Linked DNA regions of Diceros bicornis minor. The protein of the gene in region 1 binds, or shares a complex with, the protein of each later gene. Links are inferred from orthologs where the notes say so. Each region holds a gene or a part of one and is shown on either strand. Other genes may lie near its edges.

Evidence for each region.
Region 2: CPSF2 (region 1) and CPSF3 share a complex: the UniProt entries of both Homo sapiens proteins name them as parts of the cleavage and polyadenylation specificity factor (CPSF) complex. The link is inferred for Diceros bicornis minor from reciprocal best matches to the Homo sapiens genes CPSF2 and CPSF3.
Region 3: CPSF2 (region 1) and CPSF4 share a complex: the UniProt entries of both Homo sapiens proteins name them as parts of the cleavage and polyadenylation specificity factor (CPSF) complex. The link is inferred for Diceros bicornis minor from reciprocal best matches to the Homo sapiens genes CPSF2 and CPSF4.

What each region holds. Positions count from the first base shown.
Region 1 is NC_080763.1:37,945,854-37,955,936, reverse strand, and holds the start of CPSF2 (cleavage and polyadenylation specificity factor subunit 2), read right to left. Parts: upstream 5,593-10,083; 5' UTR 5,529-5,592; intron 804-5,528; 5' UTR 770-803; coding exon 621-769; intron 1-620. UniProt on the Homo sapiens protein: Component of the cleavage and polyadenylation specificity factor (CPSF) complex that play a key role in pre-mRNA 3'-end formation, recognizing the AAUAAA signal sequence and interacting with poly(A) polymerase and other factors to bring about cleavage and poly(A) addition.
Region 2 is NC_080751.1:70,606,393-70,616,475, reverse strand, and holds the start of CPSF3 (cleavage and polyadenylation specificity factor subunit 3), read left to right. Parts: upstream 1-3,972; 5' UTR 3,973-4,449; coding exon 4,450-4,520; intron 4,521-6,468; coding exon 6,469-6,532; intron 6,533-7,628; coding exon 7,629-7,726; intron 7,727-8,374; coding exon 8,375-8,503; intron 8,504-9,760; coding exon 9,761-9,938; intron 9,939-10,083. UniProt on the Homo sapiens protein: Component of the cleavage and polyadenylation specificity factor (CPSF) complex that plays a key role in pre-mRNA 3'-end formation, recognizing the AAUAAA signal sequence and interacting with poly(A) polymerase and other factors to bring about cleavage and poly(A) addition.
Region 3 is NC_080765.1:7,258,008-7,268,090, forward strand, and holds the start of CPSF4 (cleavage and polyadenylation specificity factor subunit 4), read right to left. Parts: upstream 5,087-10,083; 5' UTR 4,971-5,086; coding exon 4,868-4,970; intron 1,913-4,867; coding exon 1,862-1,912; intron 324-1,861; coding exon 171-323; intron 1-170. Other genes in the region: PTCD1 (pentatricopeptide repeat-containing protein 1, mitochondrial), read left to right, coding at 6,500-7,144, 9,240-9,380. UniProt on the Homo sapiens protein: Component of the cleavage and polyadenylation specificity factor (CPSF) complex that play a key role in pre-mRNA 3'-end formation, recognizing the AAUAAA signal sequence and interacting with poly(A) polymerase and other factors to bring about cleavage and poly(A) addition.

The DNA.
Region 1 (10,083 bases):
CAAGCAGTGCGTCGGTGCGCGCCCGGGATCCGAACCAGCGAACCCCGGGCCGCCGCAGCGGAGCGCGCGCACTTAACCGCTTGCGCCACCGGGCCGGCCCCAAGTTCTAAGTTTTTTAAATGTCGAAGTCCTCTTTCCTTCCATAATTAGTACAATACTGCAAACATAACTGAATTTTTCTTTCGTGGATTAGGATCCTTTTGTATCTTATGGTCATTATTCTGAGAACCAATTTTCAAAGTCTAGCATCAAAAAGCTATAGAAAGTATCCTAATGTGATCTGACTGCAGAACTTTCACACGGAAGGTTTTTCCTCTCCAAATTCTTACAAACTTAATCTTGCTCTTTCCTAAAATTAGGGTACAAAAATCGCTACTGAGATCCATAAGCCAAGTAACAATTAAAGTTTTGCTGATTTCAATAAACATAGCTTCTAAGTCAATCAAAACTTTACAAGTGAAAATGGTCACTGTTTGGCTCTTTGGCATAAGTAAAACTAAGTCTTTGCTACAAACTAAATAAGAGCAGAAAAGCAAACACTGTGGAACATCAAAATGGTATTAAGTGTAGAAAAGAGAAGTTGATTTAATAAAAGTCTAGAAATATGAGAAGTAACTTACTTCCTCAGGGAATCTATAATATCCATAGAAAAGTGCTCATCCCAGCCACAGTCTAATAAAAATCTAAACTCATCAACTTGGAGAAGATAGCAAAGAGCAGACTCTTCTTGGACCCCAGAGAGGGTGGTTAATTTGATAATAGATGTCATTTTCTTGGTCCAATAACAACAATCCAAAAGCTTCCTTCAAAAGAAATAAAAATATAATTAAATATAAAAGCACTGTCTAATATACATAATAGACAAATTAACTGAAATTATACCAGATTTCTAAGTGCACAGAATTTCCATAAACATGGAAAGCAAAGATTTTAAAGACCCATTTCCATCACTGCTAAGTTTCAAGGTACAAACATGATCTTACACACTCTGGTTTACAAAGAGTCCTTCAGTGGCTCCCCAGTGTGGTTTAATAAAAAGCAGTGGACTTTGGAATCAGACAGACCCACAATTGAATCTACTCCTGTGTGATTCTTGGCAAGTTAATAAACCTTTCCTCACTCATGTATCTCAGTCTATAAAACATAAGTATTAATATATACATAAAAAGGATGCTCGAAGATTTCAAATAATGTGTAAATTACCTAGAATAGAGACCACCAAGTTCCTCAATAAATAAATGTATACCGAATTAATGAACTCATCTTTCAAGGTGAATTTGTTCACCTTTATTTGTTCTATGATAGCAGTGATTACATTGCATTACAATTGTTAGTTTAGAAGTGTTTCTCTCCTATTAGACCACCGGTCCTTAAATAAACAGACTCCCTTGAGAATCTGATAAAAAGCTATGGACTCTTCTTTATCCCCTCAGCCCTCAAAAACAAAAATAAAAACGGCAAATATACACATAGAAATTCACATACTTTTCAGAAATTCACTTTACTTTTCAGGAAGTTTAATGTTAAGAACCCTTGCACTAGAATGCGAGAAACTGAAAAATAGAGATAGTATCTTATGTTTGCAATTCCTAAAAAAGAACTTGACACACAATAGGTGTTCAACATTTATTTGATGGCATGTATGTTGGGATGCCTACTAATATATTTCAAGAAGATATAACATGAACACATCTATTGGGATTTAGGACCTAGAATTGCGTGCTATTAAATAGAAGTTATAAAAATATTCATTGGCAAAGCAGAGCTCCACAGCAACATTTCAGATCTTAGTGACTTAAAATAAATTAGCCTTTCCTGGCTAACCATGCAAGTAGGAGAGGTCACTGCATACCTGATGATCTACCACCATCCGCCCAAGGTCATATCAACAAAGTAAGGTAAAGTGACTGCCCACCTTCCATAACAGGCTATCAGGAGACTCATCCCACCATATCTCCCATCTTTGTTCTCCTCAGTAACGCCAAAAAATCCAAGACTCCTAGGTTTTCCATTATCACTCATGTGTACATCTCCTAGTTGGACCCAATCCCCTACCTCTTCTCCCTCCCAAATCCTTCCAGTATGCCCTCTGCAACTATGATTATACTCACCTGTTAACTTCAACCTCTTTCTGAAGGTTTTCTTCACCTGCTTACCTTCACAGACACCCGGCTTTTCCCAAATGATACTGTTTCCCCTGCAGCCTTCTGAAGGCTTTTTTTCCTCTTGTACTCCCTGTACAGTAGTCCCCCCTCATCCACGGTTTTGCTTTCCGTGGTTTCAGTTACCCGAGGTTAGCCAGTCTGAAGATATTACATGAAGAATTTCAGAAATAAACAACTCATGAGTTTTAAATTGTGCGCCATCTCTGAGTAGCGTGATAAAATCTCATGCTGCCCCACACTGGCCCACCAGGGACGTGAATCATCCCTTTGTCCAGCATATCCACACTGTATGTGTGTATACGCTACCCGCCCATTAGTTACTTAGTAGCCAATTCAGTTATCAGAATGACTGTTGGAGTATCACAGTGCTTGTGTTCAAGTAACCCTCATTTTACTTAACAACGGCCACAAAGCGCAAGGGTACTGATGCTGCCAATTCGGATATGCCAAAGAGAAGCCATAAAGTGCTTCCTTTAAGTGAAAATGTGCAAGTTCTCGACTTAATAAGGAAAGAAAAAAATCATATGCTGAGGTTGCCAAGATCTACAGTAAGAAGGAATCTTCTGTGAAAATGTGAAGGAAAAAAATTTGTCCTAGTTTTTCTGCTGCACCTCAAATATGTATGTATAGGAAAAAACATAGTATATATAAAGTTTGGTACTATCTGCGGTTTCAGGCATCCACTGGGGGTCTTGGAACGTATCCCCCTGGATAAGGGGGGACTACTGCACCGCAAAAGCAGGAGGTATGTGTTCCTTGCTCCTCACTGCAGCTTCCAAACCATGTCTTCTCCTTCCCCCTTCAAATACTCCAGTCCCATCACAGCTCACGCTACCCAGCTAGTTCACTATGAGCCTTCTCCACTTCCTCATCATCGCTGGTATGCAGTAATCTGACCTGTCATTGAGGACTTGAGTTCCTGACTCAGCCTTTTTTTTTCAGGAGCTTCAATACTGACTTCTTAGTCCCCTGACTTTCTCAACTCCAACAATCTTCACTTCACTTCAGCCACCCACAATCACGTTTACACCCTAGACCTTATCACTACCAATAAGCCATGCCACTTTCAAAATTTCACGTTCAAGCACCTCACCCTCTCACTACCACCTTACTTACTCTAGCATTCCCACTGCAAAAATCCTTTGGCCTCACTGGTATCTCTAACCCACTGACCACTTTTTCACTATCCATGACCCCCTCCTGTCTCCATTCTTGTCTTGCCATCAATCCACGATCCCTCAGGATTATTTTGCAAACACTCTCAAGTACCTTGATGCCCTAGCCCTTCTCTGTACTAGCGTGGCAAAACCCCAACCCTAACTGACTCCAGTCCTTCACTTTGTCTTTTCCAGCAGCTGAACGCTGCCAAAGGAAAAAACCCAATCACACAACTGTGCTGTTTGCTCTTTAAATTCATGACCAAAGATCTCAAACAGGCACTAAGCGCTACCTATGAATCTGATTTTTCTTAGTAGGTTGACTTTCCATCTCTGAGACTGTTATTTCACATCTCTTCTCTGCTCAAGCATCATGTACCACCCCCTCCACCTTACTCAAAGCTGGTAATCTCACTTCATTCTTCAATTAGAAAATAAAAGTAATCAGACAGTCACTTCTCATCTTCCAATACCATATCTACTAACCTATTTGCGTGTACACTGCTGTGTCTCCTATTATATGGAATAAAGAGCCCTGCTCTGGTCCAAGGCCAGTGTCCTATGTGTGCTCTGGATCCCATTCTCATTTACCTTCTCAAGGACTGAACTTCCTCAGTCATTCCTTCTTTCCCCTGCATCATCTATGTATCATCGATGCACCATTCCTATTAGCATACAAAGATACTCTAGAATTTCCCAACTTAAAATAACCCTCTCTTAATCCTACAATCCCTCCAACCACTTCCTCATTTCTGCTCCCCTTTCACAGCAACATTTCTCAGAATATTTGCCCACAAACATGTCTCCACTTTCTTTCCTCCCATTCACACCACCAAATCTGGCATCTTTCCCCACGATATCCTAGAAGTGCTTTCACCAAGGTCACTGACAAACCTCTATACAACTTAGGCCAATGGACATTTCTCTGGCCTCAACTCTCTGGAAATCACAGCAGCATTCAGTCAAATGAACTGCTCCATCCTCCTTGAAACGCCCTCCTTTCTCTGCTTTTGTGTCAACCCTCTCTTGGCTTTCCTTCTACCTAACTGGCCACTCCTCAATCTCCTTTGTTAATTCCTCTTTCGCTCTTCAGCCTCTAAATGTGGCCATGGTTTTCAGCAGGACTTCTTTTCTTCTCTTTCTAGGTAATCTCACCCAGTTCCATAGCTTTAAATATCATCTGATCTCTGATGGCATCGTCCTTGATTCCTTCCTTTGCTTCCCACATCCAATCCATCAGTAAGTACTGCATTTTTTGCCTCCATTTTATTTCTCAAATTTCCTTCTATCTCCACTGTCACCAAGACCTCTAACTAGTTTGTCTATTTTCCCTGCCTCAAACTTAATTCTCTCAGACACAGTTTTCTGACCACCCTAACGTCCTTCCCCACCTCAGTTACAGCCTATGACATCATTCTAACGCCCTCAAAATACTTCCTGCTTTCTATTCTGGCAACGTCTGTGTTTACTCTCCTTGTCCGTCCTCTTCTCTCTTCCTAACCCCTACACTAGAATATGGACTCCATGAAAGTACAGACCTTGTCTATTTGGATCAGTTATATTCCAGTGCCTCCATAGTGCCTGACACAGAGTGGCGGTCAACAAATGCCTCTTGAATAAATGCATGAAGCATGACTAGTATTACCTGAGCTTAGTGCCCTCACCACACTATTAACAGTTACCTATTTGCATGCATTTCCCCTTGCTTGGGAGAGCTCTCTGAGTGCAGGACTAGGCTTGATCTATTTTTGTATCCTTACTATATTAGCACGTCTTACACATAGTGGTTGGTCAATAAATTGTTGTTGAAACAAACAAGTTCAAATTAAAAATATACTGACTTAACATGTTCCTATTTGTCAGGTATGAGAAGTACAAAGATACTAATTCTCTATTTGATGAAAAATGTTTATAAATATAATTTTGGAAAGGACCTAAGAAATTCTCACTGCCAGAAAGCTTCCTGTACCACAATTATATTCATGGCCTAAGAGAAACTCTTTTTCTACTGAAATCTACCTTAACTCTCACTGTCTTTATTTAGATTACGAAGTGAAAATAAAAAGTATCTTGCAGATAGAACTGAATGAGTTCATGTTAAATTTTTTTGCAGACAGACCCAGATTTCAACAGATGAAAATATATTTTTATTACAATTTCTCATAATATAATAAAACTATATCTTTATTAGATATTCATTACTTACTGATATCTCAGTCGTATATCGGATGAAACACCATGAATTCAAAGGAAGAGTTCTTTATAAATCTAAAAAGTGAAGAAACAAGGGTCTCATGAACATGGTATAACAATTTACTTCTGTTATTAATTATGGTGTTTAACTTCTATGTCTTGTTCTAAGATGAACACTGTGAGCAGCAACAAGTAGTATAATATATGGTCCTTTTTTAAAAAAGAAACCATAATTTTAGGAAGTTTAAGCTTACATAAAACAAGAATAAAATAATAAAAGATAATAACAAAAGACAAAAATAAATAATAATGAACCAAATTAGTTATTATCAGAGGCTGCAATATGCAGTTTAGGAAATAAGATTTTAAAAATTGACATTAGTTTATGTTACAGGGAATCATAAAGAGGTGGGATCTTAAAATATTTGTTAAGGGTTGGTAGGACCTGGGTACAAAGAGACAAAGAGAAAAGGTACTCAAAACAGGGGAATAACACGATCAAAGGCACAAAACAAAAATTTACAGAATACTAGTGAAAAAACTAGCCTGGCACATTTTCATATAAGCAAAAAATGAAAGAAAAGGCCTAATGCATAGAAAAGGGCCTGATAATAAAAGGCCTTGGTAACTTTGGATCTAGCTCTACAGGCAACAGAGAAACATTTTAAGATCCATTATCAAGTAAGAAGATGACATGATACAGGCAATTCTGTATTTTAAGAAAATTAATTGATGTGTATGACTGATGAGATAAGAAGATACAGAAACCAGGGAGATAAAAGGGGAGAGTATTTAGCAGACCACTTCCTCCTTTCAATTTTGCTGGTTTTATTTTGAAACTAAATTTCTTTAGCCTCAAATGTACTTTATAATTCTATGACATGAATTCATTAGTCGTTATCTAGGTAACCAAGGTCTGAAACTCTACATGTTTGATTCCTTCTTTTACTTCTTGAACAGTGTATTACCTACTGCTGAGCATTTTTCCCTCAGAATGCCCGGCACACGTATCATTCCCTGTCCATTCCTACTGCCAGTTCCTTAATGCAGGGCCTCATTACCTTACATTTGGGTTCTCTGTTTGCCTCCAGCCTTTCCTCCCTTCATCTTAACCTAAATATTTCTGCTAGACTAATCTTCAGAAGCACCCCTGCACATATTATCCCTTGCCCAGAAATCTCTGAAAGGCTTCTTACTGCTTGAAAAAACTAAAAACAAAAACCTGAATGCCTTAACTGGCATTGAAGGGAGCAGCAAGGCCCAGCTCAAATTCCACCTCCTTCCTAATTCCTCTATCATTAGTCTAGGCTACAGCAGCTCTGTCCAACAAAAACATGATGCAAGCCACAAATGTAATTTAAAATATTTTCACAGCCACAGTGAAAAGTTTTAAAAGTGAAATTAATTTTAATATATTTTATTTAACTCAATATACCCAAAATATAGTCATTTCAACATGTAATCATTATTAAAAAATAATTGACATATTTTATCTTCTTTTTTCATACTAAGTCTTCAAAATCCACTGCGTATTTTATATTTACAGCACATCTCAATTTGATCTAACCACAATTTCAAGTGCTCAACTGCTACATGTAGCTTGTGGCTACTGTAATAGCACTGGTCTAGACTCTTAAAATCGATGCTTTGGACCGTAGAACATTATCCTCTGCCACTCCTAAAGTGCAGGTTGGCACCACTCTATATTTGTTGGCACCACTCTATATTTATGTACATGTCGTTGGCTTGATTTTAATGGAATCACCAACCATTTAGTCTCCAGACTAAAAACTCTGGAGTCACCCTCTTACCACCAAATTGGCTGCCCCCAGTTGAACTCTATTTGACATTTCAGACATGTCTCTCTGACATCCTTTACTATCCTACCTCAGTTGAGGCACTCATTGCCTTACCTGAATGATTGCCATTTCCTCTCATCTAGTTTTCCTGTTCCAAGTTGACCCTCCACACAGCTGTCAGAGACCATCCTAAAATATACTCATGCCCCTACCTTGTGCAAAGTATTCACTGGCTTCCTGCTAACTAATGAATTAAATCTGAACTTCTTAGTTGGAAATCAATGTCCTTCACAAGTTGATCTCAACTTTCCTCTTGCTTCACCAACCACCCCTGCACTGCATGCTCAAGCACATATATTTTCCCTCTCCCTAAGTACACCAAACTTCTCAAGTCCCTGCATCCCTGTACTGCATCCAGGAATGACCTTCTCCTGAGCCTAGTAAATTCCTTTAGACCCTTCATGACCCACCTCAAATATTTACTCCTTTACAAAGCTTTTTTGGTGTCCTCAGGCCGTTATTTATGTTTACCTAGCACAAAGTAGGCACAAACAATATTTGTTGAATGTATTGCCAAAGAGTAAAAGTGATCATCTTTGGGCAATACCAAGCATAGTGCTCAAAGCAACATAAATGTGTACTGAAAGATGGAATGAACCCTAACCATACACATTCCTTCACGGCAGTGATTCCGAGCATTACTACTTCATCTCAAAGATCTATCGCAGTTACTTGCTCTCTCAATAATGACCTTGCTTGTTGACGCCAACTAAGAGGAACTATACAAAATCCAAGGGAAGAACGAAGGAATCTGGGTTGGCTCTCGAGCTCACTAAGCGCGAAAAGTTTCTCCCTGGTCAGTTCGGGGAGGGCAGCAGTTTCCTAAAAGGTTCAAAGGGATTGTAAAATTTAAAAGCGGGGGGGGGGGGGACAATTGATAACTCAGATTCCCCTGGGCACAGGGGGCCAGACTTGCCGGGTTATGGCTAGTCTGACTGCTGTTTGCTGAAGAGCGTGCACAATGCAGTGATGGTGGAAGTGATGGAGAGAGGGAACTGGAGGGCCGAGACGGTTTTAATAAAGCACAGCGACATCTAAAAGGTCTTCGGAGTCGATTAACTAAAAAGGACGCCCACTTTGCGCCCACCGCTGGGTAGCCTCGTGATCTCTCAACCCGAGAGACAGGAAGACCCCGAGCGAGAAGGCTGAGAACACGGTAACGACGAGCCAAAGGAGCAAAGCTGGCGTCGGATTAACTCCTCCTGCGCCGAGACTGAAAGGGCGAAGGGAAACAGCAGCAAGGAAGGAAGGAGAGCCTGGGAGTGAGCCGTACGGTCTGCTCCAAAAGCCCGAGAGCTTCAGACCCCTGGAGAAGCCACTTCTCTTTCCCTCGCTGGGCACTTCTGCCAGGAACGACCAGGACAGTCGCAACCGAAACCCCGGGAGCACGTCCCCAGAGGAGACCCGGTCGGAGTTGGAGCCAGGCTCTCCCGGAGGGCCGAAGACGCCCCCTCCCCCATCCAAAGGCGCACTTTCTTCCGCCCCCACTTGCCTCGTCAGTCCTCCCCCAACGCCGTCCACTGCCCTGCCCAACCCCTAGTCGAATTCAGGTTCAAGAGTGAGAAAAGCTGACGTTCGCTCAGCACCATCCGTGAAGATCCGCCAACAGAGGCCCCTCAATGGCGGCCGCCATTTTGAAACTGGAGGCGCACGGCTGAGGCGGGGAAGACCCAGGGTGATACCATCTTCGAGGGGGGTGGGGCCAAAGCTATAGGAAGGAGGTGGCGCTTACACCAACCAGTCTCGTTCTCTGGGACTGAAATTTTATCTTTAAGTAATTTATGATGTGTAAAAGCTAAAATAATTTGAGAAATATCAAACATGAAAAGGAAGAAGAGGGATGATTTCCCGTGCCGCCCCTCTCTTCGAGCGGGCGCGGCGAATGGTAGGTCCCGAGGCCGCAGCTTCCGCCGGCGCCGGTGGCTGGGTCGCCACTACCCTAGGTCGTGGGGTCGTTGCTGGCACCGAGGCCGCAGGTGGGTCTGGGGTCGCAGGTTGTGCAGACGGGGAGGGTGCGTCTCCAGGAAAGACCTCTGTGTGTGTATGGGAGGGGGTCCGGGCCTCGCCAGGGCCGGAGCGGCCCAGGGCTTCCTGAGGCTTCCAGCGGAGGAGACGGGGAAAGGGAAGAAAAATAGGGGTTTCTTTACGGTGGGCGGCTGGACTTTCGTTTCCGCCTGGCTGCTTTTGGAAAGAGTACTCTGAGGATGTCATAACCGGAAAACTTCTTTAGCGATCACCTGGTGACCGCCCCTTGGGCGGACCGGAGAGGAAACCGGACGGGCTCCCGCTCCTAGGCTGAAGCAGGGAAAGGGCTGCCTCTCCGCGAGCATCTCTGCTTCTTCCAAGTTGCAGCACTCTGTCTTCCTCGTTACTCAGACATGGAAGCTAACCTCGCTCTCCTCTAAATCTCAAACCCTCTTGAGCCGACCACTCCACAAAATATGCACTTTTTAAGAACGTAATTAAAAGAAAAAAGTAATATTAATTTGTAAAGTGTGTATGTCGTTAAGAAAGAATTCCAGACCTCAAGCAATTCAGTTTCTTCATACATCCAGCACTGTTCTTTAATAGGTTAAATCGACACTTTTTGATCAATACATATAAAGTGCTGTAGGGACCAGATGCAGAGTAGAATTTATTTTTTTAATGTCTAATCATCTATATTTTTCCAACATGCATTAAGAGGGCCTTACAAAAATACACACCAGA
Region 2 (10,083 bases), on another chromosome or scaffold:
AAATCTGACGCCGCCAACCTGCTTAAAATCTTTCGCTGGCTCCCCAAAGTTAGAGACTGAAGTCAAAACCTCTTCACCAGGACACACAAGATCCTCCATGACCCGGCTCCTACCTACCTCTCCAGTCTCACAACCAGCTTCACACCTGATTAATCTCTAAGGAATGCCAAGCTGCTGGAGGTTCTCAGCAGGCACTATGCTCTATGCTGCCATGCTTTGCTCTCGCCGTTCACTCTGCCTGGAATCTCCTTCCACCTTGCATTCACTCTGCTTTCAAGACTCAGTTCAGGCTTCTTCTCTTCTAGAACGCCCCCCTTGGACCTCCAGGTTGGGCTTAGGGACCTGTCCTCCACAGCTTGGGTATACACCCTGATCATAGCATATCATAGCACACACTGGAAAGTCTGCTATTGTCTACTTGTGACTATCTCACTCTATGAACTGTGAGCTCGTCAAAGGCAGCAGCAAGGTTATTCATCTCTGTGTACCCAACGCCTGGCACAGTCTGGCAGAGGACATGCTTAGTGAACTGGAGAACCTTCTTGGGAGATGACACGAAAATAACAACTCCCCTGCACTGAACAGCTGCATGTGCAGCCCAGTGTAGGTGCTCTACTGTGCACCTCTAACCCTTCTACTGCAGACCGGCAAGGCTACCCTATTACAGCCCCTTTCAATAAGGAAGCCAAAGCTACGAGATTAAGGGACTCGCCCAAGGTCTCCAAGCTAATAATGGGTGGGACCAAGTCTGGAACCTACACAGACTAGCTCCAAAGCTCTTTCCAGAGCCCACCCTGCTCCCCACGTATTCCTCACTGTTGTGAGCGCCTCCCACGTGCTGCTGCGCAGGATGACAGTAAACAGGACAGACATGACCTCTGCCCTCTGCAGTGAGGGATGGGGGTGGACGCGGAGGGAAAACCAACAGGAGCCGGCACAAAAAGTGAGCGCTCCTCACCGCCCCACAAGGCAGAGCCCGACACGGGCAGCAGCCCCGCGGATGCCCCATTCCCGTCGCCCTTCCCACGGGGCCGCTCCGCACACGACATCCGTCGTCACAGGTGCTGCGGTCCCACCCCAGACAGGAATCGGCACCGGGGCACTGCCTCCTCTCTCAGGCCGGGCCCACTCTCGGCTCCCGCCGCCCACCCCAAGCCGCCTCGGGGCCTGGGTCCCCGACCAGAGGAGGGCGGGTCCCCGCGGAGACCGCGGCCCCCGCGGCCCCACCCATCCGCCCCACCGCGGGCCTCCCCGCCGGCGTCGCCCTCGGGGCCCGCGTTCCCGGCCAGGCTCCGCCAGGGCGCAGCGAGGGCAGGGCTCTCACCTCACAGCCGCTGGCCCATCCCTGGGGTCGTCTGCGGTCGGGGTCAGACACCCACCGCCCCAGCAGCAGCCGTCGCAGCAGCCATTCCAGTGCTTAGTCCAGCGCCAGCTTTTCCGGGCCCCCTGGCCCCTACCGCCAGGCCCCGCCTCCGGCACGTCACGCAGGCGCAGTCTTGACCTCGCCCCAGGTTTCTGACCTCCTGTGGGGCGGAACCTCGCGAGCGGGGATCTCCGACCGGAAGTGGAGGGGAGGAGCCTAGTGCCGCGGGCGCCGGAGTGCCGGAAGTTGTGTTCTTGGTGGATGGCGTTCTGTCTGCGGGTCCCGGTGGCTGTGCTTCCAATTTAGGAACGCTCCAGCGACCTGTTCCTCGCCTAGTCTCTCCTTCAGACTTCCGAGATGTCTGCGATCCCTGCTGAAGAGAGTGACCAGCTGCTGATCCGCCCCCTGTAAGGGACCAGTGAGAGAGGGCAGCAAGCCGCGGGCTGCGAGAGGCGAGGAGTAACCCGGTGGTTGGCTCCTCAGTCGCCCCCGCGCCGGCGTGCCTCGGCCGCCTGCCCTTGGTCCGCAGCCTGGCTGACGGGGTTTGGAGATCTGTTGATCGGAAGGGGCGTGCTAGGTTGACTGGGATTTTGCTTTTCTTCAAGCTCAGGGGAGAGAATGTTGGAGTTGGGGGGCGGTCTTTGGGGCCCTGGACGCCTGTACCTAGAGAGTGGCCAGCCCTGAGGGAACCGGTGCTGCTGATGACGGCAGGACGAGATGAGGACCTGGATAAGGCTGTAGCAGTGCGAGGAGGAACTCAGTCTGTTGCTTGCTACCTCCAGGACTTTTTACATTTGCCAGGATGTGAGAGAGGAAATAAATTAGGGATTTGCTATGAGTTTTGATGTTCTGACTTCGGAGTCTAGCAGAATAAGGAAGGTAGAAGGTTGGAGAGAAGAGCAGAGGTGGTAAGGACAAAAACTCAGCCCTGGATTGTCTGGAAGAAGGCTGGTCTTTCCATGGAGATGGCCTTCTGTCGGGAGCACTTCACAGATCTGGAATGCTGCTGAGAAAGGGAGATAAATGTGGAGAACTTAGCCTCTCCATGGGCAATTCGAATCCACAAACGTGTTTGTTGTTAAATATTAGTTGGCACCACATGAATGTGCATTTTCAAAAGGTAGGAAGCATCTCCTTTACACGTTCATTCAATAAGGACTCATTGAGCACCTCCTGGGGACATAACACAAGTTTCCCACTGCTTAGTTCACACCTGTCACCTCTCCCTGTGTTCAGCAAACACCCAGCAAGTGTCAAGCACCACACTAGGCGCTGGGGATATAAGTAGGACAGAGGCTGAGTTAGTTGGATTCACCCTTTGAATGGAATTGCGGTGCAAAATGAAAAGTACTGGAGAGAGTTTGGAATAGTAGGAGAGCATGACTTTGGAGTCAGAGCTGAAGTCCAGTCCCAGCTCTATCACTTACTAGGACAGCAGCCTCACTGAACCTGTTTCCTCACGTGAAAATAATATAGCAACGTTTATTGTGAGGGGTAAAGGTCACGTCGGTGCTCAGTAAATGGTAACTGTTATAAGAGTATAGATGGACGTTGCACTGAGTGCCGTGAGAGTGTGAAAAACGGATTTCTAACAGAATGAGGAGAAGAAAATGCCATCTCATGCGTCCTGGAAAATATGATGCGTGAGCTGAGTCCTAAAGAATGAGAAGGAATTAAGGACGGGTAAAGTGTGGGGGCAAGGATGTTCCAGTAGAGGAAGTGGCACGTGTGAAAATGAGAGTGGTCACAGTTTGTGGCGAGTTTCCTCATGGCTGTGGCTGAAAGATTAGCAGATGAGGTGGAGAGGCTATCAGGGTCCATCTTATGAAGGGCTTTTTTTATATGTACTAAGGATTTGAGGCCTTTATCGTCAGGTGTATGGAGCCAACAAAGGATTTTAAGCAGGGTTGGGATATAGTGGGAATTATGTTTTATGAAGATCAAAGATCACTCCTAGCAGCAGTGCAGCAGATGAATGAAAGGGTGGATTAAGTGGAGGGAATCCAGTAGGATGAAATTGAAATAATAAGCAGTGAGAGCTTGGAATGAGTGAAATGAGCAACAGTGGAATAGAAAGAAACAGGTTTGAGAGAGTAGGGAAGTGAAACCTTTAGAACTTTGTAACTGATCAGATGCATTGGAAGGGGCAGTTGGGAGGGAAGGCAGGGCAGAGAGGAATGTTAGGGTGACTCGGATTCCTAGGTAGGCAACTGGTACGTGGTCATGTTATTCCCTTAAGGAGTACAGGAGATGGGGCAAGTCTGGAGGAAATTTGGGAGTTTTGTTGTTTTTAACAGCCTTATTAAGATATGTCACATACAACTTACTCATTTAAAGTGTACAATTCAGTGGTTTTTAATATATACACAGAGTTTTACAGTCATTACCACTGTCTAATTCCAGAACATTTTCATCATTCTGAAAAGAAACCCGGTACCCATTAGCAGTCACACCTATCTTCCTCGCCTTCCCTAGCTCTAGGCAACCACTAATCTACTTTCCATCTCTGCAGATCTGCCTGTTGTGGACATTTCATATAAATGGGTTACAGTATGTAACCTTCTGTTACTGGCTTCTTTCACTTAGCATGTTTCCAACGTTCATAATTTGGACTTTTTTACTCATTCAATAAGTATTTCTTGAGATTTACTGCATGTCAGGCACTGTAGCTATAAGTAGGGTGAACAAAATAGACAGTGTCTCTGCTCTTATGGAGCTTTCGTTTTAATAGTGAAAAACAAGCCATAAATAGGTAGATACAATAACTCCATGTAGTTGTGTTATGATTGAATGGTGTGAAGGGCAAATGAGAGGAGGTAGTCAAGAGAAGGCCTCTGAGAAGGTGACATTTGGACTGAGACCCAAATGATACAAAGGAGCCAATCATGTCAGTATCTGAGGGCAGAGCATTGCAGGAAGGTAGAAGAGCAAGTGCAGGGGATTGGTTGGGCGTATTTGAAGTTAAGGTGCCTGTGAGATATCCCAGGAGAGATACCTAAAGCCCAGGTGTAGATTAGAGGTCTAGAATTCAGAAGAACAATGAGGGCTACAAATACAGACTTGGAAATCATCAGCATGTCAAAAACATGAGAATGAAGATCACGAAGACTGAGAAGAGGGCCAAGGAGAGAACCTTTGGAATATCAACATCTGAAGGGTGGGCAGAGACAGCTGAGTGTGAAGGAAACTGGAGGAAGACCAGCAGGACAGGATGAGAGCAAGAAGTCAGAGAAACCAATGGAGAAGTGCTTAAAGAGGGAATGATGAATGAGGGTGACAGGCGGCCAAGAGAAGAAGTAAGAGAGGGACTGAAAAAGGCTGTTTGTACTTAGCAACAAAGAGCTGCTTTGGGGGCCTGCCTGGTGGCGTAGCGGTTAAGTTCTTGCGCCCCACTTCAGCAGCCCGGGGTTCACAGGTTCGGATCCTGGGCGCGCGGAGGAGTGTTTGGGAAAAGCCAGATTGCAGTGAACTGAGTGAGTGGAGGTGAGGACATAGAGGCAAAGAGTGTACACAGCTCTTTTAGGAAGCAAACTGGGAAATGGAATAAAGTGGGAACTAAAGGAGATTAGAATTAAGGGATTTTAATGTGGGGATGAGAATGACTGTAGCATGTTTAAATTCTGATAGTAAAGAGAAGATGGCAAGGGAAATGTTGATGATATGGCAGTGTTCAGTTCCTCAGGAGGGAGTGTATAGAGTGTAGAACCATGGTGAAAAGATTAGCTTTAGACAGAGAGGTCTGTGCTCTTGTTACAGGAGAAATGGAAGGAGAAAAGATGTGGGTGGGTTGGTAAGTAAAGTTGAGGAAGTTGACAAACGAACTATATTTTTTTGATGCAGAGAAGGTCCATGCCCCAAGTGAAGAAGAAGATAGAGGATTGGAAAATTTAGGAAAGGGGAGGAAGCTTGAAATCGTTACTATGGAAACTATAAAAGAAAACTGAGCTAGGGACGCTTCAGAGGGTGCATAGAGGGCCAGTTAAAATGGAAGGCCATGGGCCGGCCCCGTGGCTTAGCGGTTAAGTGCACACGCTCCGCTGCTGGCGGCCCGGGTCCAGATCCCGGGCGCGCACCGACACACTGCTTCTCCGGCCATGCTGAGGCCACGTCCCACATACAGCAACTAGAAGGATGTGCAGCTATGACATACAACTATCTACTGGGGCTTTGGGGGCGTGGGAGGAAGAAATAAATAAATAAAATTAAAAAAAAAAAAATGGAAGGCCAGGAATTCGTGATAGCACTATGGCTGTTTGATTCTCTTTGTTTACATCTTCTTCAGAGGTAGGACCTCGGTTTGAGGGTAGATCTCTTTTCATGTCTATCTCCTAGTAGACTGTGAGTTTCTTGAGGCCAGGATCCTAGTATTAGGCATTTCCATATGCTCAGCACTTAATACAGTGCTTGGCAAATAGAAGCTGCTTAATGTTGCATGAGTGAGTGACTCAACCTAGAATAGTTGGGGAAAGACATCAACGGAGGTGAGAGATTTGAAAACCAGGTGAGGTTTAGCTTAAAGTCTTGTGATAATTGGAAATTAAGGCTGTTATATTAATTTAAGAAGGAAGGAAGATTGTTTAAGTGCTTGGTATCAAATATACGAAATAACAGAAAGTAGAAAGGAAAGGGAATGAGATTCACAGGTATGAATAAGATAAGTCTATTTAAATTTAAGCTATTTGGTAAATGCATATTAGGATATTAAAGAAAATGAAAGAATTTTGAAGTGCTTATGGGTTTATACTTCAGTGCTAATTCTAAAAGTATTATTAAATAATCGTGTATCACTGCTAACTTATATTTTGAATACAGCATAATTAACCCTAACATTCAGAAGATTGAATTTAACCATCAGATTTCTCGGATCTGTACCATCTTCTCTCAGTTTTAACAACTGAAAAATCCCTGAACTCCCAAAGATCACTTTTCATCTTTTCCCACATTGACATGTTCTTCCCTGTCTTTGTATTTTTGTATAACTCTCATCGGCCTCAAGTGCTGTCATCAAATGGGGCATAATTTAAGTTGTAAAAAAGTTTGAATTTATTGGCCTTGATTTTGATTGTTTTGTACTCATTTCTGTTTCTCCCCTTGAATGTTTACAGTGGAGCTGGGCAAGAAGTAGGAAGATCATGTATTATTCTGGAATTCAAAGGAAGAAAAATAATGGTAATTATTATTTTGTAGTCAGGTTAACAGTATGGCTCTGTCAGCATTGGGTGTTAGGTTTTTTCTAGTACAGTAGTTATCTGTTTAGCTCCCAGAATAGTGTCATAGTTGGTATACATAGTCTGTGATGTTAATGTGAAAAACTAATGCACACTTCTACTTAGTAATTTGACAAAACGTTAAGTAAACCGAGAAGATATATTCCAAGATTCTCTCCTGAACTGTTGCTTCTTCAACTCTTGGAGGGTCTAGCCAACCTAACCGCCCCACCTGCAGTGGAAGGCCTCAAGGAACTGGCTGCCCCAAAACATGCAGAGCTCCAGCCACCCCAGTGCAGCATGTGATGATAGAGCCCTGGTTTGGCAGCTTAGCTACCTAAGTTAGCATTAGGGCCTCTGACTTTGGGCAAGGCAGTGTGAGCCCATTTCCTTATCTGAAAGATGGAGTGATTAGAAGAGATGGTTTCTGTGATCCTCATTGGAAAGGCACTTCAGTGGCTCATAATGTTCCTTTGGTTCCACCTCTCTATTTCTCTCAATCTTAAAAGAACAGGCCTAAGTCAGACATAGTTGTCTTTTTAGTTATTTATTATATTAATTTGGTAGTAACATCCAAAAAATGAGTATGTAACTCACTAATGACTGACTCTTAAGAATTTATTCCCTAATGCCTTAAAATATTTAAATTCCGCTGATCAGGGAAGTTTCCTGTTTCTAATCACTGTCTCCTCATAATAGTCAGATCTGGTAGTAGTAAATCTATAAACTTTTTAAATGCCCACCATCTTCTGATATCCAAGTTTCTGAAAAAGAGTTCATTCATTGTTAGAGTGACTGCAAAAAGTAGCTGGAAAGAAGATGTCTTGTATTTTGTGTCCTGTGACCCTAAATGTCAGCTATATTTTTATATTTGTTTGGGAAGTTAGAATTGTTAATGGCATATTTGCCACATTTAGTAATAATTGCATTCCAAATGCTAGAGTATAGAGTCCATCTTGATTATGTATGTGATGAATTGGTTATAAATATTGTCTTTATTGGATGAATTTTAATAAATTGTGTAGGAGATTGTGATTCTGTTTTTCTGTCTCTTTCAGTTGGACTGTGGGATTCACCCTGGACTAGAAGGAATGGATGCTCTTCCTTATATCGATTTAATTGACCCAGCTGAGATTGATCTCTTGCTAATTAGTCAGTAAGTTTTTTCCTTTATTAACAACACTGTTTTTCAAGGACTTTTACTGATGATAAGAATGATAAGGATCATTCTTTACCAGATTGTAAGATTCTGGTGTTTGGAAACAGTATTTTCTACTAGGAAGCATATTGCAGCCATCGAAGTCTAAGACAACACTCCATATTGTCATCACAGGTTAGAGCAGTTTATTAAGAAAACCTTACTTTCCTACCTCCAGAGTAAGTGAGAAGGAGATAGCACATGCCTTGGACCACTGTAAAACTTGAGACCAAGAAAGCCCTTTCCCAGAATATCTCCTTGAGGTCACTATCTTGTCACATTCTATAGGAATTTCATTTAAAAACAGTGACATGTTTCAACTTTATACCACTAAAGTACTTGTGATAATTCTAGCTGCAGAGAGTAGGTTTGGGTATATTCTTCCATCTCTAGTTATCAGTGATAGAGTATTTTGATGTTTAAAAAATGCTTTTACTATCTTTTTCTTACACTAGGACGGGATGCGTTATTCCTTCCCTCTGCAGGTAGCTACACTTGGTGTTCTGAAAGTATCAGTATGCACTTGTTACATAGAACTTTCCTGTTGTATAGTATATGATGGATACTATTTTAAGAATTGACGGAATCTCTTTGTTTATTTTTAAGTTTCCATTTGGATCACTGTGGAGCTTTGCCCTGGTTTCTGCAGAAGACAAGTTTCAAAGGAAGAACATTTATGACTCATGCCACAAAAGCTATTTATAGATGGCTTCTTTCAGATTACGTCAAAGTTAGGTAAATTACATGCATTTGATTCTACATAATACATATGGTTCAAGATACGGACCATTTTGCGTTTTGAAATAAGACACTTTCTTTTTATTCACAAGAATGTCATTAATTTAGTCATTCAGTAACAACTCATCAAATACCCATTGTCTACCCAGCACCTTCTTGGCCTTAAAGTCTTTATGTAGTTTTTACGTCCTTTTAAATCTTTATAATTTAGGTGAGTTATGATGTATGATAACAGTATTCTATAAATAGAATTTCATAAGTTTATTAAAATTTAAGACCAAATACATTATACAGAGATATATACTGAAATCTTATTTTTGGTTATTTGATCAAAGTAAATTAACTATCTTAAATGAAAAAGTTCCGTAGGAAAGTTTTTTCCAGTTGCAAGAAGAAAATTTTCTCCTTTATCAGAAAGTTTGGAGCGTTTTTTGATACCTACAGCACAAACTATTAGCCTTCAAAGATTTACTGTGTGATATATATATTCCAAGGGTAGCTAAGATGCATTTTGTTATTCTTCATATATAAATGCAAAAGAATGCAAGAGTTATCCTTAGTAGTAATTATGCTAGTTAACACTTAAATAATGCTTACCACAGCCAGGCACAGTCCTCAGTTCTTAGTGTATGTTAACTCATTTAATCTTCATAGCAGTCTCATGATGGTAGGTTCTGTTATGAATCCCATTTTATAGATGATGAAACCGAGGCACAGAGAGGTTAGGTGATTTGTCTATGATGGTCATGGTAAGAGACAAAGCTAGAATTTGGATGCAAGCAATCTGGCTCCAGAGTCTGTATCCTTAACCACTACTCTCTCTTGCTTTTTTGGAGGTACATTAGTATAATTTTCAGGAGAAAACTTATGCTGCACTTTGTAGAGAAAGCTTTTCACATCCTGGTGTGAGAATCTCTGCTGTGGTTCAATGTATGTGAGTGAGTTTATCTCTCAGGAGTGTCAGGGCAGGAAAAAAGGTTGAGAAATACTTTCCTAAAGAGGATTTTGCCTTAATTTACTGTGTGCTTTGCTTAAAATCATGCTTTGTAGTTGTGCACACTAAACAGTTTTATTATAATTGCAGAGTAAAAAAATACACAAAATGTCCAAGAGATACTAAATAGCATAATCCATACAATATAATTTTAAGAAATAACTTTGTGGATATATCATCCACAGACAATTTCTTCGAGTTCAAAGACTTTTTGAAAAGCTTCGCCTTAATTCTTTTTGTTGGCATCTTTAAAAATTTAGTAATATATCAGCGGACGACATGCTGTATACTGAGACAGATCTGGAAGAGAGCATGGACAAAATTGAAACCATCAACTTTCATGAAGTTAAGGAAGTTGCAGGAATCAAGTTTTGGTGTTACCACGCAGGCCATGTTCTTGGAGCTGCCATGTTCATGATTGAGATCGCAGGCGTGAAGGTACTCTCCAGCTCTGGCAATACCCTCCCTACGAGAAATCAGTGCAGAGCTTTATGCCACCAAGTGGTACTAAAGAAAATTCCTAAGACTTACAGAGTGTCAAAACACTGAAACGTAAGATAAAATTAAGTTGATGCTTTTCCCT
Region 3 (10,083 bases), on another chromosome or scaffold:
AGGCACTGCCCAAGGTTCTCATGTGAAGCTGGAAAGATGGGAGACAGCAGACACTGTGGGTGCGTTGAGCAGCTGCCTAACCCCTCTGGGCCTTTGTTCTCGGTGGAGCCTCCCCAGGGCACCTGAGGCTGGGGATCTGGGTGGAGGGGGGGCCTTGCCATCTGCCTTACCGAACTTCGAGTAGAAGTAGCACTCGGGCATCTTGGTCATGTCGTACTCGTGCAGGAACTCGCACTGGTCTCCCTTCTTGCAGAGCCCCCGCAGCCAGTGTTTGCACACAACTGTTTTCTCACCGCTGATGTGGCGGAATGGGCACATGCCCCCTGTCAAGGAAGACACGGTGGTGTAAGGAGGGAGGCGGCCCTAAGCCCAGGGGCACTGGGCCAGGGGAGCCGAGGTGATTTCACCCCACATCTCCCCCAAGCATCTGAAAGCAGCACGTCCTGGAAGGTGGTGTGGGTGCCGCTGGAAGAAGGCAATGTGATTTTAGGCAGTTCTGTACATGGGCACATATTTTAAGTTTTAATAGTTACGTATTGTATTTTAAAGTGTTTTGGAAAGAATCGAAAACATCAAATCATTTCACAGATATTACTTTAAAGTGGAGGCTTAACAATCCTGGGGAAGAGGATGAGTTTATCTCTTAATTTACTTAAAGAATAGTTCCAGGGGTACGTGGAACTTGTAGGGGTGGTAAAAGAAAGCCCAGGGTGTGGGAAACACAGCCCTAAAATATAGAAGGTAAAGAGGACCACCAGCAGAAGCCTGGACCCAAGGCAGGCTCCATCTCTTGTTAAAAGTGTCCACTTAGCCTCCAAGAATTAAGAAAGATCAACTTCAGAACTGAAGAAATGTGTTGTATACAAACTAGGGGAGGTCTGCCTTCTGTAGCAGCATCTGAGTGATCATTACCCCAGATGGGACAGAGCCATACCCTAGGAAAGTCATATTTCTAACTAGTGGCCTGGCAGGACTCCTGGAAGGCCTAACCAGAATGAGGCTATGACTGGGAAAGATCTAGACCAGCCCTATCTAACAGAACTTTCTGCAATGATGGGAATGTTCTCTATTTATGTTGTCCAATATGGCAGCCACTAGCAATACATGGCTATGAAGCACTTGAAATATGACTAGTGTGAGTGAAGAACTGCGTTATTTTATTTTAATTAATTTAAATTTAAATAGCCACATGTGCTATATCAGTTAACACAGACAGTCGTAGTGCCCCATGTTAAGGATGGCTGCGCTAACAGAAGGTGGCTGGTCAGAAGGGCAGAACAACCAAGGGAAGAGATGAGAATGAGACCAGGAGCCCAGCGGGGGAATAATGTCCCGACCAGAGGGCCTGAGGTCAAGCTGGCTGATCTACCCAACCAGAGGGCCTGAGGTCAAGCTGGCTGATCTATCCGGCAGGTCTATCACTTTAGTGGCAGATGACTGAGATTAGAATCAAAACTTGAAAAATCATCCATTAAAACCAGCCCCCTTGCTCTAATTCTCTGCTCCCTATTCAAGCTTCTGATTAAAATTTAGTTTCCAGATAAATTTGCCTACAGAAAGAAAAATGCCCGGTCCTATACATGGCACGTAAGGTCTTGCCCAGTGATACTTATCCTTATAAATTAGTGGACAGTCTGCTCATTAGTGGATAGTGCAGCCTCTGTTAAGGCCTGGTCAGTATGAACAAGACTCCACGAGGGGCCAGCCCGGTGGCGCAAGTGGTTAAGTGTGTGCGCTCCGCTGCGGCGGCCCGGGGTTCACCGGTTCGGATCCCGGGCGCGCACTGACGCACCGCTTGGCAACCCATCCCCAGGGTGGTGGGATTCCTCAGGAGGAATGTCAGGAGCCAGGGGTCTCTTACCTTTGCCACAGGCAGCTTTCAAAAAGAACTCACAGACAGCAGCCCCCGACTCTGGAGAAAGGAGAGAAAAGGAGAGGCATCAAACAAAGCAAGCTGCGACTGCTACTGGTGATGTCTCCAGACAGGGAGGGAAGCCTTCTGGCCCTTAACTCACGAAGGGTTCAGGATATAGGAAACAGACAAGCAAAATAATGCCATGTCCCACCAAGCAAGGAAAAAGCTTATTTCAGCCATTCCCTGCAAAATGAGACATATACATTGAGACCAGTCATTACTCCATGCTTTCTGAAAGCCTTCTATAAGCAAGACGCTTTCAGGGAGTTACAAGTGGGTGGGAGAGGGAAGGATGGAGCACAAGATCACAGAAATTAATTACCCCTAGCTCGGACCTTCCAGAGGGCTAATTCACCGGCACTTTAACGTGAGGCAGGAAGCACAAAAAAGCAAATGGGGACTCTGAGGAGGGACAGGCTGCAGAGAAGAGGCGAGTGCCTCGGAGACGCTATTCTGAAAGGAAAAGCATAATTTAAGACACAGAAGGGGCCGGCCGGGTGGCGTAGCGGTTAAGTGCGCGCGCTCCGCTGCTGGCGGCCCAGGTTCGGATCCCGGGCGCGTACCGACGCACCGATTGGCAAGTCATGCTGTGGCGGCATCCCATATAAAGTGGAGGAAGATGGGCACGGATGTTAGCCCAGGGCCAGTCTTCCTCAGCAAAAAGAGGAGGACTGGCAGATGTTAGCTCAGGGCTGATCTTCCTCACCAAAAAAAAAAAAAAAAAAAAAAAAGACACAGAAGCAGGACTGCTCTTAATATGCAACATCAACACACAATTATTAAAGGAGCACAGTCTCTTGCTTACACAGATGCAGCCGGTTCAGGAGAGGGGTACAGGAGAATAAAAGCTGAACATGGTAGAAGTCAGTGGGCTCCAGGAGTAAGCTGTTCTAACGACACCAGAAATTCACCTGCCATGGCTACCAGAATAAACTGTCGTGGCTTCAAAAACAGTTTTCTCTATCAGCAGGCATTTTAGAATGGCTGAAAACCCACTGACAGCATCTCTGAAGGCCATTTACGTGCCTCTCCTTGCTAACTTGCACGAGATTCCTTGGCTTCTTAGAAGCAGGCAGATTTTGCTAGGACAGACTTAAGGTTGTAGAACTGGGAGTCATAACACTGTCATTCATTTGCATTTCAAAAAGTCTAAAAAGTCTTACACTAAAAAATGTATCACTTAAGAGTATTTCTGGGCCTTCGTTCTTTTCAGAGATTAAGGTTGCTTCATTACTTAAAGCCAGAAGTCTAGTGGTTTCAGGCGGACAGGATAAAAGAGCATGCCTTGAGGGCAGAACTGACAGCTCTTCCCAAAACTAAGACAGGAATGAAGTGCAGGGACAAGGGAGGAAGGGCTGTGGCCGCCCTGGGCTTTAACACAATGAACTCAATCTGAGGGCAGGCAGTGAGTGCTGAGGGCACCTACCAAGTCTGAGGTGGGAGGCTAGGGCCATGAGGCGGGAGGCTAGGGCCACACGCATGGCTAGGCTGTCCTTGACCCTCCCTAAGAATAGGTGTGTGGGCCCCTCGCCACTGTGCCTGCCCTCACAGACTCAAGTATCTGTGGTCCCAGGCTGAAAAAAGGTGGGAGGGAAAGAGCTGCCCTGCATGGACCTTCCATGGTCTCAAGCTAGTGCCACCAACACAGGAAAAGGCCACGTGTGCCCAAGTGGATGTACGTGTACAAGCATGAGGTGATCACATGCATCGAAGGGTAGATAAATAAGTGTGTATTTGAATTTGAGCAGTTCCTTATAAGACATGCACAGTGGAGATGGTGCTTGTGCACATATAAAATAAGGTTGTTTGAGGTATGTCTCTTGGGTATAAGCAACATCTCACACAGAAGTGTCAGCATGAGGGGGACACCTGAGGCCATGTGTGCAGAAGTGCACTTGAGGGGAATAAGGCTGCAGGGAGTCTCTACCAGACCAGGGACCGGTGGTTGAACACGGGCCAAAGTCCACTGGCAGCTATGTGAGACAGCACAGGGAACTGCAAACAGAACCAGTCAAGAACTCTGGAGAGCTTACCCAGCTCCCCAGGCACTGAGTGGTTTTCAGCCAGTCCCTTCCCCCACCCAGGCCTCAGTTGCCCCACCTGTGGATTGAACTCAGCGACTTCTAAGAGCCCTCTGAGCTTTAATGTTATAGCGTCAGACATCAACTGTATCCGCAAAGGTGAGAAGACAGGAAAACTGCTGGTTTCTTTTAAAGTCCTAGACATCCCACCTAAGTGAGGGCGTGGGGGAAGCAGGAGCCACCATGTGAAGGAGAATGGAGGGAGCCCAGGCAACTGCCCAGGTGTCATGAATGACCCAGAGTTGGGGTCCAGAGAAAAAGTGGGGATAGGCTCCCAGAAGTGCGAGTCCTAGGAGAGGAATGGAGCTTGAGAGTCTAACTGTGGGTCTCCGACAGAGAGGGAGAGGTGGTCCTTCCCTCAGCATGAGTCATCCAATATCCCAATTGGGATGAAAACAAGAGGAGGGCGCTCAAAGCTGGGGGGGGCTGGAGGTGGGAAAGGGGGCTATCTTAGTACTTTCCTGTAGTTAGGGGGAGGAGGGAGTAACTGCCAATCCGAGATAGCCGCCTTCATTCAAGAATTCTTTGAACAAGAGGACATGGTCCTGCTCTCCTTAAGATTGCCTTTTAAGAGCCCAGAGGATCGACGATCCGAGGAAACGGCTCTGGAGTCCGAGTGCAGGAAGAAGGGGATCCCAGGACCGGGGGGAAAGGACCCCCGGGACCGAAGGGGAAGAGCTCCCGAACCCGGGGGGAAGGCGTCCCGGAACCCAGAGAAGGGGATGCTGGGACCAAGAAGAAGGTCCCGAACCGAGGGGGAGGACATCCCGGAGCCCAGAGGACGGGCTCCTAGGACTGAGAGGGTCCCGGGACCGAGTCGGTCGCGCCCCTCGCCCGCCGGCCCCGGCCCCGGCCCCGGCCCCGCGCTCACTGTCCATGCCGGGAAAGGGCAGCGGCTGCGCCCCGAGCTGCTGCTCCACCGCGATCTCCAAGTCGAACTTGATGTGGTCCACGCTGGCGATGATTTCCTGCATGGCGGCGGCGGCGGCCCCACCGGCCCGGCTCCCCTTCAGGTCCCTCGCCGCGCTCACACCTCTGCCTTCCGCCGGCCCGGCCGCACACGCTCCGCCACCGCCTCCCCTCGCCTCGCCTCGCCGCCGCCGCCGCCGCCGCCGCCACCGCTGCCCGAGGGATGCCGGGAGCGCCTGGAGCCCGCGCCTGCCCGTCGCCCGTCCAGACCGGGCCAATCGAGCGCGGAGTACGGGCCGCTCCGCTAGGCCCGGCTAGCCGCCAGCCGAACGCCCGCCTGTCCTCTGGGCCGCGGGTAACCTGAAACCACGTGCACGGGGAGTTCGTGACGCGGGCTGCGCTTGCGCGAAGTCGCCTGGGGCGCGCACCAGAGGTGGCGGGGAAGGAGAGTAGGCTCTGCGGCGCGGCGAGGCTGGGACGCCACTGGGGGTGACGCGAGGCCGGGCGGGGAGCGAGGCGGTGCCGGGCGGGCGTGGGGCCGCGTTCACTGGGCCGGACTCTTCGAGCGAGTTGCTATTTGATCCGGAGCCCGGGACCTGGGCGGGGACAGGCCAGAGAGGTAGCGAGTTTCGCAGCCGGGGTCGGAGCCGGGGGCGCCCGGTGAGGAAACCAAGGCTCTGAAGGCCAGTGTGGACAGGGGTCCCGGTGGCCTGAGGGTCCGGGGAGCGTCGGCGGGCAGCGGGTACCCAGAGGAAGGACAGCGGCAGCGTGCCTCTAATTCAGGGGTTATTAGTCTGGGCAGGTTAATGAACTTGGGTAGGAAGAAAATGACACCTTTATTTTCTCTGTGTGAAATGGAGCATTGCTTTCCGTGACTGACGGACGAGTAGCGTTAGCTGTGCCCGAAATTAAGTCGTGATTTCAAGTGGGGACGAGTGCAAATGATAGTTGGAGACAGAGTATCTGCAGCCACTGCAAGCTGTCATTTACACTCAGCACTGCTTTGACATGATGGGGTCTTGTTATTTAATGCCTTGAAAAAGAAGCACGGGGCCCGCCCCCGTGGCTTAGCGGTTAAGTGGGTGCGCTCTGCTGCTGGCGGCCCGGGTTCGGACCTCGGGCTCGCATCGCCGCACCGCTTCTCCGGCCATGCTGAGGCGGTGTCCCACATACAGCAACTAGAAGGATGTGCAACTATGACGTACAACTATCTACTGGGGCTTTGGGGGAAAAATAAATAAATAAATAAGAAAAAGAAGCATGTATACTAGTATGCTATAAGTTTGTCTTTAAAACATTTTGATACTTATTTCAACATCATATTTGAATGAGGCACAGGGAGATCAAGTAATGGGCCCAGTCACAGCTCTGGCCAGGACTCAAACTCAGATCTGGCTTCAGTGACAGATGTCGTAGATCATGGCTTGAGAATAGTTTCTGTCCGTGGACTGCTTACTGTGCCAGCAGTGTACTGCACTGTGTATATCTGAGACCTCGTTCAGTCATTGCTACAGTGCTGTGTGGGCAACGTTGTAGTTAACCCCAGTTTACAGGCAAGGAGGCTGAGGCCAGAGCAGTGAGTGCCCAGGGACTCATGGATGGTTGTTTGGCAGAGCTGCAGTCTGAACCTAGGCTTTCTAATCTCGGTCTGGGCTTGTCACCACTTCTCTGTCTTCTTTCTGCTTTTTGTGACTGCGATCCTGAGTTGACTTCATTATTTTTTCTGACCTTTGTCAGGCCCTGGAGGGGAAAGCCAGAGATGGACCTCGTGAAACTTGCCCAGCTCTTCTCCCGCCCCCACCCCGTGGGACTGTCTCTCCTGCAACACCTTGACCCTCTCAGAGCCAGGTGGGCAGGAGGCAGGAAGAGGCCTGCATGGCTGAGGGCCGTGGGGCTGACTCGGCCAGCGCCAGCAGCCTTCAGCAGCTCCCTCTCTCAGCTGCCCGTGGGCCAGGGGAGCCAGAAGAACACGGGCAGCCTCAGCTCTGACCCCAGCCAGCCCAGCCCCACAGCCACCCAGGAGGAAGACGGGGAGGAAAGCTTTGGGACCCTCTCCGACAAATACTCCTCCCGGAGAATGTTCCGCAAATCGACGGCCCAGTTGTATAACCTGCGGCTCAGGGAACAGAGTGTTGAAGAAGACGAGGCAAGGGAGCTGGAGCCAAAATCATGGCGGGGCCGAAGAAACACCCCTTACTGGTACTTCTTTCAGTGCAAACACCTGATCAAGGAAGGGAAGGTGAGGGAACCTGTGGATTCTGCTGCTCCTGGCTCCTACTTGCCCATGGCTCGGTATTCTGTGAGGGGCCCTGCCTTCCCGATCTCTGAATGTTGGGGTGCTCAGGGCTCTTCTCTCCTCTGTCTTCACTCACCCCAGGTACTGCGCCGGGTGACCCGCCAGCCTCCTGGCTTTCAGTGCCAGCCTCCTCACTGCAGTTCTGGTATTTGTATCTCCAGCCTGGCCTTCCCGTGGACTCCTGATCTGTGTATCCAGCTACCTCCTCGCCATCTCTCTTACACCCACCTACATCCACCGAGATTGTTTTTCCCAACCTTGTTTTCCCTATACTTTCTTCATCTCACTGAATAGCAATCCCACTGTTGCATCTGCCCAGGCCAAATACCTTCAGGTCACCCCTACTCTTCTCTTTCTCTCACTGGCTCTAGCTTCAAAATGTCACCAGTCCTAACGCTTCTCATGACCCTACCCCAGAACACCCAGGCATAGCCTTCTCCTCGCCCTCCTCAGCTGTTACAACGCATGGCACTGGGCTCCCCGAGGCTCTCTCCTCCTCTTGCCCCGCCGTCAGCTGGCAGCACGGAGTCATCCTGTTAAAGCAGAAAGCAGATAATGTTACTCTTCTCTCCAGAACTCCCAGTGTATTCAGTGACATCGATGATGTTCACTTTCTTAGATATTGATAATGACATTCCGTTTCTATTTAAAAATCTCTTGGAGGTATGTGTTGAAGATTTTATGAATGAAATGATAGAATGTCTGGAATTTGCCTTAAAAAATACAGTTTGGGGGAGAGTGCAGGGTATAAATGAAACAAGATTGGCCAAACTTTATCATTGTACACTCTTCTTCACCATCTTATACTCTTCTTTCTACTTTTGTGTATGTTTAAAATTTTCCATAATGAAAAGTTGAGAAGTAAACAAAGAGAAGCCAAAGTCCTCACAATGGCTTATGAAGGCTGCAGGATCTGCCCTCCACACCCCTTATCTCTCTGCTCTCATCCCCTCTGCCTCACTTACTCTGCTGCAGCCACCTCAGCCTCCTCTCTGCTCCTCCAACTCCTAGGCACACTTCTGCCTCAGGGCCTTTGCACTGGCTGTTCCCTCAGATAGCCATATGGCTCCTTCCCTGGCCTCCTTCAGATCTTTGCTCATCTGTCAACTTCTGGGTGAGGCCCTGCTTGGCTGTCGTATCTAAAACTGAATCTCCCACACCCTTCTTCTGACACTTTTTGCTTTATTTTTTACATAGCACCTATCACCATTTGACATAGTATATATTTTTCTTAGTTATCTCATTTGGCGTCTGTCTTTCCACGCTAGAAGATGTACTCTATGAGGGAGCTCCCTCTTGCTCACTGCTGTATCCCCAGCATATAGACCTTGTCTGGTACCTAATAGGACTCAGTGATTACTGGTTGAATGAATGGATGAAATAAGATAATTAAGTGGTAAAGGAGTGAACTGAGGCTTTAAAGGGGATGGTGTAGGAGTAGGGATGGGGCAAAGACTACTGTGGGCCAAAGGGGTTTGCAATTGGAGGAAGCTAGTGACACAGGGCTGCCATCCTGTGCCATCTCAGGAGACTGTCGCTGTGATCGTGTCACAGCCCCCTGTGATCGTGCAGCACAGTGGCTCTGAGCATCCCTACTAAATGACTGGAACCCAGACTCCCATCAGTTCAGAGCCAGGGGGCTGGCACTGCAGGTGGGGTCACCGAGGAAGCAAGGGCAGGCAGATCCTGGGAGTCACAGAATTAACATTTTCTGAGGAGTTACTAAGTGCCAGGCCCTGGCTCCACTCGAGAGCCACAGAGATGCAAAGACATGGCCCCTGCTCTCAAGGAGTTCACTGTCCTGCTAGAGGGAAGGCAGCCGTGGCAGTAGGGCCGAGAGCTCCTCTAGGTGGTGGGTGTCCAGTGGGCTTTTCTTCCTGGCCACCACGAAGCTCCCTTGCTGCAGAGCACAGGGTGTTTGGCTCCTGGGTAGGCCTGGTCTTGGCCCCAGGGGAGGGTACCTCAGCCTCAGTCTCCCTCTCTTGGCTGAGGTTCTCTGAGGCCACCCTGAGCCCCCTCTTATGTTCCCCCCGCACAGCTGGCTGAGGCCCTGGACCTGTTTGAGAGGCAGATGCTGAAGGAAGAGCGACTCCAGCCCCTTGAGTGCAACTACACAGTGCTGATCGGGGGCTGCGGGCGGGCCGGCTACCTGAAGAAGGCCTTCAAGCTCTACAATGACGTGAGTGTGGGGCGCAGGGGCGAGGCTCCAAAGAGCATGGGCTTTGGCACAAAAAAGAGCTGGGTGCAGATCCTGAAGTGTCACCTGCTAGTGCATTACCCTGGGCAGGCGATTTAACCTCTCCGGCCTCAGTTTCATCATCTGTGAAACGTCGCTGATCGTGGGTAATTACACGAGATGATGTGGCAAGTCCTCCAGCACCTGCGTGGCCCCACCCGTCCCCGTCCCTTTCCATGCTGCCCCAGTTTGTTCATGTCCCTTTCTCTCACCCCCATCCTCGCCCTGTTCGTTTTCAGATGAGGAAACTGAGGCCTGGAGAGATGAAGGCCATGTCCAAGGTTACCCCTCTCCAGAGTGCTGGAGCTGGGATTCGAGCCCCAAACGGCCTGACTCTTAAGAGCAGGGCTCTTTATACTCTTCCGTCGCCTGCGCCCGGTCAGGTGGCCGTTCTCTGGGAAACAGAGAGCGCTTGGCTTTATCAGGGAGCTGCTCAGTCACCTTGATCAGAGCTTGATAAGCACAGTGTCGACCCCGCCCCAGGGTTTGTGACTCAGCAGAGCCAGGGGGCCCCTGAGATGTGCTGCAGTAACACGCTCCTGGCTGCTGCTCGTCCAGGGGCCACTCCCCTACCCGACCCTTGCAACAGCCTTTCAAGGTGACAGTATCATCCCCATTTTTCCAGTGACGAACTAACTTGCCCAGG